2 linked regions of the Oryzias latipes genome follow. The protein of the gene in region 2 purifies or fractionates together with the protein of the main gene of each other region. This does not show direct contact. Links are inferred from orthologs where the notes say so. Each region holds a gene or a part of one and is shown on either strand. Other genes may lie near its edges.

Evidence for each region.
Region 1: the proteins of pla2g4a (region 2) and protein S100-A10 purify together in Homo sapiens (affinity purification with western blotting; 3 studies listed by BioGRID). This does not show direct contact. The link is inferred for Oryzias latipes from reciprocal best matches to the Homo sapiens genes PLA2G4A and S100A10.

Annotation. Positions count from the first base shown.
Region 1 is NC_019869.2:1,215,895-1,219,289, reverse strand, and holds protein S100-A10, read right to left. Parts: upstream 1,770-3,395; 5' UTR 1,724-1,769; intron 1,112-1,723; 5' UTR 1,092-1,111; coding exon 963-1,091; intron 890-962; coding exon 728-889; 3' UTR 648-727; downstream 1-647. UniProt on the Homo sapiens protein: Because S100A10 induces the dimerization of ANXA2/p36, it may function as a regulator of protein phosphorylation in that the ANXA2 monomer is the preferred target (in vitro) of tyrosine-specific kinase.
Region 2 is NC_019862.2:15,083,275-15,087,873, reverse strand, and holds the start of pla2g4a (cytosolic phospholipase A2), read right to left. Parts: upstream 2,849-4,599; 5' UTR 2,221-2,848; intron 1,731-2,220; 5' UTR 1,637-1,730; coding exon 1,619-1,636; intron 443-1,618; coding exon 361-442; intron 233-360; coding exon 84-232; intron 1-83. UniProt on the Homo sapiens protein: Has primarily calcium-dependent phospholipase and lysophospholipase activities, with a major role in membrane lipid remodeling and biosynthesis of lipid mediators of the inflammatory response.

The sequences.
Region 1 (3,395 bases), on a different chromosome or scaffold from region 2:
TCACTCATCCTAAAACAAACAAACAGCAGGAAAGTTGGAAAAATGAACTCAGCTGTGTGGGATGTGGGTGTGAACCTCTGCAGTCACACACACAGTCAGAGCCCCGTAACCTAGCAACCACAGTGTTTGCCCTGTAACCACGAACAATGATCAACCGAGATCTGGCCCCCGCCCATAAATGTGTGCACAGAGCTCAGCGAGCGTGCAGACGTTAACCCCTGGGTTTAGTTTTTCCGGCATTCGGTGACCCGCCGCGGGTGGCATGAGTTGCTATGGAATAAGCTGAGCTGGTTGTTTCTTCTCCTTTTGCTTGGATTTCACCAAATCCAGCAAATAACGGATGTTGTGAGAAAATGGAAGGGCTGATCTCCATGTGACTCAGGCCCTCCACATTCTTGCAGTGGGCTGCGACACAGAAGCACATTTCACCGCGTTGCCCAATCTCAGTGTTCCTGAACGCTCCACAAAGCTGAGAGTTTCAACATCAGCTGAGTCAGTCAGCAGATTCCTCAGGGAAATGATAAACAGGACTTTATGGAAGGGAGGGGGCAAGGTTTACCTGCCCTGTCCTCTTTAAAGAGACGCAGTCTCCTGGTCTCAGCTGCAGCTTTAACCAACAGCACATACACACAGACACACACAACAGCTGACAGTCCAGTTTCTTTAATGGATAAAACAATCTTTACAACAAAAATTGAAATGCTTTTGGGTTTCTTCCCATTGTTCTTCACTTCTTCCCTCGCTTCTTCATCTCCATCTGGTAACATTGCTCACAGGCGACCGACAGTCCAACAACCAAAGACACAAACTCCTCAAAGTCCACTTGGCCGTCCCCGTTGGCGTCCAGGTCCTTCATGATCTTGTCTACGGCGGCGGGGTCCTTCTGAGCCTGCAAGAGGTAAAGGAGGGTCAGCCCACAATCCAACCCACAGATTCAGCCCTCTCCTCGCCGGTTTCTGCACCTTGAGGAAGTTGGAGAGCTCGTTCTCCATCAGCTCCCGGAGCTCCCGCCGGTTGAGCTGGTTGTCTTTGGCGTAGCGGTGGAAGACCTTGATGAGGGACTCCATGGCGTTCTCCAGTTCTGAAGGCATGATGCTGGAACGTTCTGAGACTTGAAAAGAGCAGCAGGAAGCGTTGAACATTTTCATCATTTGCTGAGCCATCAAAAAAAGGTTTAAGGAAACTTATGGGGTTTTTTAAGGGGAAAATCTGATTCAAATTTGAGAACATTAACAAAAATAGAATGGCATGGATAGCAATAGAAGGGATATAAAGAAGTAAAAAGTCTGTATGCCACTGTAATCACAGTAATCTTTCTGTAAAAGCATCCAGATGCTTGTTTGTCTTTTGAGGACTGTTTGAAGCCCAGAATGAGAGGGGACAGAAGAAAAGCCCAACACATGTGAAAACATGCCCACAGTCCAACCACACCCTTCCTCACACTCCCTATAGAGGAACCACACAGCAAAGATGCAAAATGTCACAGAAATGGGAAAAAGTGCCACATCGTCTGACGGTTTCCCAACGAACTGCTAAAGTCTGCAGAAATCTGCTGTCAAAAAAGGAAAGTTGTGAAAAAGTTGAATCGTTGACAAGGAAGTCTCAACTAGAAAAGCCCACCACAGATCTAGATCACACAGATCCCTCCTCAAGAACATTCAGGCCGATGGAGCGACAGAAAATCATGAACAACTGGAGACGGAGCAGAACCGTTAGATCTTACCTCACAGGGCAGAGCAGAAGCAGAAGTGCACTGAGGAGGAGTTGAGGAGCAGCAGGAGCAGCAGCAGCTTTATAGGGAGGCGCCGCCCTGACCGCCGCACAGTGACTCACTCAGACTCCACAGGATTGGAGGAAAGCCTCTGGTCACAGAGAGGTCTGACAGTCTTCAAAATAAAAGCAGAAAACTGACTTTTTAAGTCAGACTACAGTTTCCCATCTTTTACTAGAAACACACAGGAACTTCATCTGGACATCAATTTAATGTTAATAAACACAGAATAACTATGACTTTAAAAACACGTATGTCAGCTTCACGGCAGTGAATCATAGAATATATGGAATATCTGCTATCAAACCGCAGACCAACAACACACCCTGGACCGTAAGCAGAAGGAAAGTCCAAACTTCCATTGAATTGTCTGCCTAGATTGATGGCGCCCTCTAGTGGAAACACATCTGTCCATCATGTCTGCTGGAGCGTCCGGCAGGGAACACAGACGCAGATTTGATGAAGGTAAATGAACTTCTTCTCTCCTTTCTGCATCTGTCAGGTCAAGTACTGAGTTTATGGAAATATTTCAATGTAAAAACAGGAAATCCACATCGTTTTTCCGTCTGATTCATAAATGTCTGCAGTGTCGGACCGTCAGTCAGTACTTTAATGACTAAATGAGGCAATGACCAAAGGGTACTTTTTAAACATGGTGGCAATGACAAAGAGAGGATCTATCGATCTAAACCCTACATGTAGAAACAGTTCATCAAGGTGTTCTCTTGTGAATAAATGTGTGTTTGAAGAACGTGTATTGTGTGTGTTTGTGAGCTTCAGCAGGTCGTGTCCATGTGACTCCTGCTGCTGTGGAAACCTTTCAGCAAGCAGGACTCTGGGTTTGGTGAACGGTAAAAGGCGTAGACTGATATAGTGCTTTTTTATCTTCCTCGAAGGCCCAAAGCGCTTTACAGTCACACACAAACATTCACAAACTGGTGGCGGCTCCGCTGCCGAAAGTTGGCGCCAACCTTCCACCATGAGGCAAGGTGGGGTTCGGTTTCTTGTCCAAGGACCGCCCTACCCCTGCACCACAGCCGCCCCATTTGGTTTGGTCTGGAACCGTTAAATAAAATATAAAATAAATAAAGCTCAGACACAAAAGGGATTTGTACAAATATACAATCTGTTTGTCTGAAGATCTATAAATCCCTGCAACACGGATATCACAAACCAAAGCAGGTTTCCATGGAGACTGGAAGGACCCAACAGCTGAAGCAAAAGGCTGGAGAGCAGAGTGGATCTAGAAATCTTTATTTAGCTTGTAGGTTGTATGCTGGGATTAGATCCAAAAAATCTAGAGATGCTTTATCTTTTTAGTATTTAGTTATTTGTTAGTTAGTTGATTATTAATGTTTGACATATTTATTTATTTAGACTGTTTTATTTGAATTAGTTTTTGTAATTGTGGTAAGTCTGCGTCTTAAAAAATATATTTTTAAATTTCTGGTTTCTGGTTTCTGGTGCTGGTTCGGTGGATGTGGTCCAAGGAACGTGTCCCGGTCTCTGTTAGGCACAGGAAGTCCAAACACTCCAACGTGAGGGTGTCGTTGGAACCAAACTGAAATGATTGCGTAATTAGCGGCGCAAACCGGAGCGTGCTCAAGCCCCGTGGTTTCCGCCA
Region 2 (4,599 bases):
TGCTTATATGGATTTATGCAAGATTGCATTACCACCTGCATTAATGTACTGGATCAGATTGGATTGTAAAATGCATGTCTTACCTCCAAGACATTTTGCTGGTTGGGATCCAAAATGAAATGAAATGTCTCATTCCACTTTGGATTGATGTCATTGTCGATATGCTTGGTCCTTTTCCTGCTTTCCGGGGCTGTTGGGATGAACAGCTCCACATATGGATCTGGGGTATCCACTATATACAAACAGAACACATGCTGATTTTTCTCCCTCTTTTTTTGCATGGTTTTAAATGTTTTTAGTCCAAAAAATGCATGCATAGTATTCCACACAATTACACCAAATATTTGAGCTAAAACTTACACAGATCACCCAGCGCTCCTTTGGTGACGTTCTCAGCTCGGACCACTGTCACAGTGAATTTGTGTGAGAACTGTTGTTCCACCTGTGCACAACATCACTCAGTTCAGTTGGGTTTTACCCCTTGTAAATCAAAGAAACCTCAATAAAAACTATACTGGACTACATTACAACCTCCTTTCAATTAAATTAAACTAATTTGTACAAGAGCTCTGTTTTGACTCAACTATAAAAAAGATCATGTTCCATTTACTCTGGAAGACAACATATGGCACTCCTAAAAGGAAATTCAATTCAGCCTTGTCCAAACTGGGCCAATCCTGACAGTTTATTTAGTATGGAGCACGTCTGATACAACAAGACTGTACAAGAGGAAGAAGTAGTAATCATATTTTGGTGGCAGGTCTTGTCATCAGTCTGGGATCATCCAATTGATTGGGTCTTGTGAAATTTTACACAGAACTGAGACTTTCTTGCCACCCAATTCAATCATTTTTATGTTAACGCATTATTTCAAATGTTATGAATTGAAGTAGTAGTGTTTCCTTATATTTAAACCTGCATGTTTAATTAAAAAACAAAATACATTTAATGTTATGCTTTGACGGGTGTTTGTAACTTCTTCTTTCCCAATGCTTGAACATGGTAAATGGCGTATACTTATATACAAGGCCCAAAGCGCTTTACAGTCACAGACCCATTCACCCAGTCACACACATTTACACACTGGTGACGGCTCTGCTGCTGAACACTGGTGCCAACCTCCTACCAGAGGCAAGGTGGGGTTCAGCGTCTTTGACACAGCAAGGACACATTGACTCATGGGCGTGCAAGGCGGGAATCGAACCTGCAATAATATGATCATGGGTCGACCGCCCTACCGCTGCACCAAGGCTGCCCTGGCCCCCACTGCCGCCCCCGCCCCATCACAGCGGAAGTCTTGTTTATTGCGTCAGTGGTATTTATCTAACTCCACAAGGTTTCAGATAACCAAGAACTGTGAAACTAATTGAAATGGAGCAAAGAATGCAATGTGAATGTGAAAATTGAACAAGTAATCTCACATATGAGTTTTAGAACAGCTATCCATCAGCCACTGCTGTAATGAACCTTGTTGCTGTCAAACCATAGCAACTTTAGTCCTTTTTTTCAATCCTCAGCTCACTCCACCGTGTTCTTATCAAACAACTGATTTGCTTTTTGTTGCAACAACTTTAACTATTTACACAAAGTTAAATTCCTGCATTTATAGGGTACTTACAATTATGTTGGAAGCCATTGTATTGTTGGGTAAATATATCTCACGAAACCCTTCAATGAGATGGGCTCTTGAACTCAGGGGATCATCTGTCACTTGAACGATGCATGAAAAACTGGAAGGAGACATGCAAATGAGAATTGAACAGTTCTGCCTGGCCTGTCGACCTCAGAGAGCACATTTTTACACGGAGGTGCAGTCACTACATTAAGGAAAACTTTCCTGAAAGAAAAAACAAACATTTAATTGGGTCTCTATTGAGATATCAGTACAGCATTTTAGAAACAGGAAGTGTGTTTAGCTTCATGCGGGTGATAAGAAGGAAATGTTTATCTAAGTGCGTGTGTATTGCATGCATTACATTCCGTTTCAGAGAGGTGTGTCTATGCTGTGCGTAAAAAGGCTAATTGTAGTAGGATTAATTATCTTTCTTTGCAATGGAGGAAAACATAAATTTGCATGATGCGTCGTAGCTGACTCTCCTCTAAATTCGCCAGAGCGTGTGATTACAGCGCGCACAGAGAGGCACGTAGAGCGTCTGCGCGTTCACAGCAGCGATCACGTAGTTGGCGGCAGAGGTCCAACTTTTAGAAGTGCCAGCTCACCCTGGTTCTGGGAGCAGCGGCACACAATGAGGGGGGCGCCAAGCTCTGTGCGTTTGCCAAAGCAATTTGGAGCACGCCGCGCAGAATTTTCATAGGAGAGAGAAAGGCGCCGACTCCTGCGAGCTGGTCTGATGATGCAAAGCAGTGACGCCTGGAACAAAGCGCACAGTGAAGCCTGCTCAGGTGGAGCTGCAGCACTCCTACCTGAGACGGTCGAGTGAAAAACCAGCTCGGACTACTAGCTCTTTGAATCACAAAAACATTTCCCATGAATTCAGACTGTTGTGCATTTAAGAATAGTAACCGCTTTTTCCGGATTACTAGTCTTACGCACGAATCGGCACCGCGCCAGCAGGTTTCGCCCGAATATAGATGAACAGTCAGTTTTGACTGCAGAAAAATAGAACATTTTGTGCTAAACAGTCTAACAAAATATCCAGAAGCAATAATAAACTGACAAAACTTTAGTAATTCTTCATGAATGCCTGTTTTATTTTGTTCACAGAACTTGAAAATATCAGGCTACTAGTGACGAGTACGAATTAAAGCGACAACTTCAAATCGTTAATTTCCTTTTTTTAAGGGGGGGTCACGTATATAAGTGTCAATTTTCACACAGTTGTAAAGCTTTATCTATCAACAAACAACAACATTCTGTGTTAAGACAAACAATGAAAAGACAACATACCTTTCACAGGCAGTTTTCAACTCACAAATCCAGTTGAATGAGACATTTTCGACCGAACAAGTTCAAGAGATCAGTAGTATCGAATGGACGTCCTTTTGGTCACGTAACGATCAAATTTGCATCAACGGTGGTGGCAGCTACAAGTATTACAAAAACAAAAATTGATATTTTGCAAGAAAATTGTGGACACCACCAAAAAGTCGGGAACGGCGCTGCAGGACAGACTGCTGGCAACGATCGCCTGCCCTCAACTCCAAATGCGCACGAGGGGCCACTTCCACACGTGGGCGTCGTTTGTCTCTTTTCTTAAATGAAGGTTTCCTTTCTTCTTTTTTCGATTCCATTTTATTAGAATAACTTTATAAATCTTTTAGGCATGTCTTTAGCCAGGGGATAATTTAGTATCCTGATTTCAATCCTGAATTTGACTTAAAAAATGTATTTTCAAATGAATGCAACCGCAGAAGTAATTCATATTTTAATTTTATTTGTTTATTATTATTTATTTAGAACGTGAAAAGTTATTATATTTTTTCATCATATTTTGGGTATAAATGTATAGATATTATAAATATGTATTTATGAATGCAAATTTAACCATAAAATTTAATGTATTTCAAATCCTTTTTGTGGAACAAATAGGGGGAAAACATTTATAGTTAATAAATGTAATTTTGTAGAGGAAAAATATTTATTAATCCGTTCTGACATGATAAACATCTCTTCTAGTCTGTGTTAGTGAAAATTAATGAAGAACTCTTCCTTAATAATCTGTTAATGACTTTAGGATTTACGGTTGAATAAACTCGGTGCCACTTTTTAATCAACATGAAATCTATCGTAAAAAAGAACAAACCAGTCACGGAGATGACGGATTATGGATTGCGAAAAATAAAATATTCCGGGGTTCGGAGGGATTACGGATCAAATCCTAAATTGGTGTGAGCGGGTTGGCCGGATGCTCTCCTTGTTTGCTAAACGGTCATTCATAAAACGATGACGTAACTACGTAACTATATAATTGCTGTGCCGAGGAAGCTTGCTCGTTTTCACTCTGAAACACTTGACGTTGGAGGACGGGAGCAAGAGAAGGAAAAAGGAAAACCTTCGAGCAAAAGATCAAACTCAGGAGCATGAACTCACTTAGAGCTGTGCTTCTTCTCTTGGCTTTGGGCGCTTCAGTCTGTGAAGGAGGTAAGAAGATGAGACTTAGAACAGAAACTCCAAGTTTCGCCTGAGCTGGTTTATGACATTTTCATTCGGTTTAGGTTAGAGAAGTAATCATTGTGTTCTATAGGTAATCCGTGTTGCTCATGGCCTTGCCAGAACAGAGGTGTGTGCACAAGTTTGGGTTCAGACAGTTATGAGTGTGACTGCACCCGCACTGGATATTATGGGCAAAACTGCTCAACGCGTAAGTATTTCAACTCTTACAATTTATTTTCAGTTCAAGTTTTAAAAGGCCTTTACGGTTGGGACTTAAAGAATTAATTGAACTTCTGTTTCTTCAACCTTTACAGCTGAATTCTTTACCTGGATTAAAATGACCCTGAAGCCCACCCCTAATACTGTACACTACATTCTCACACACTTTAAGGGTTTCTGGAACATTGTCAACAGCATCTCCTTTCTCAGAGATGCCATCATGAGTTATGTGCTGACATGTAAGTTGTCCAATTTACAAAAAAAAA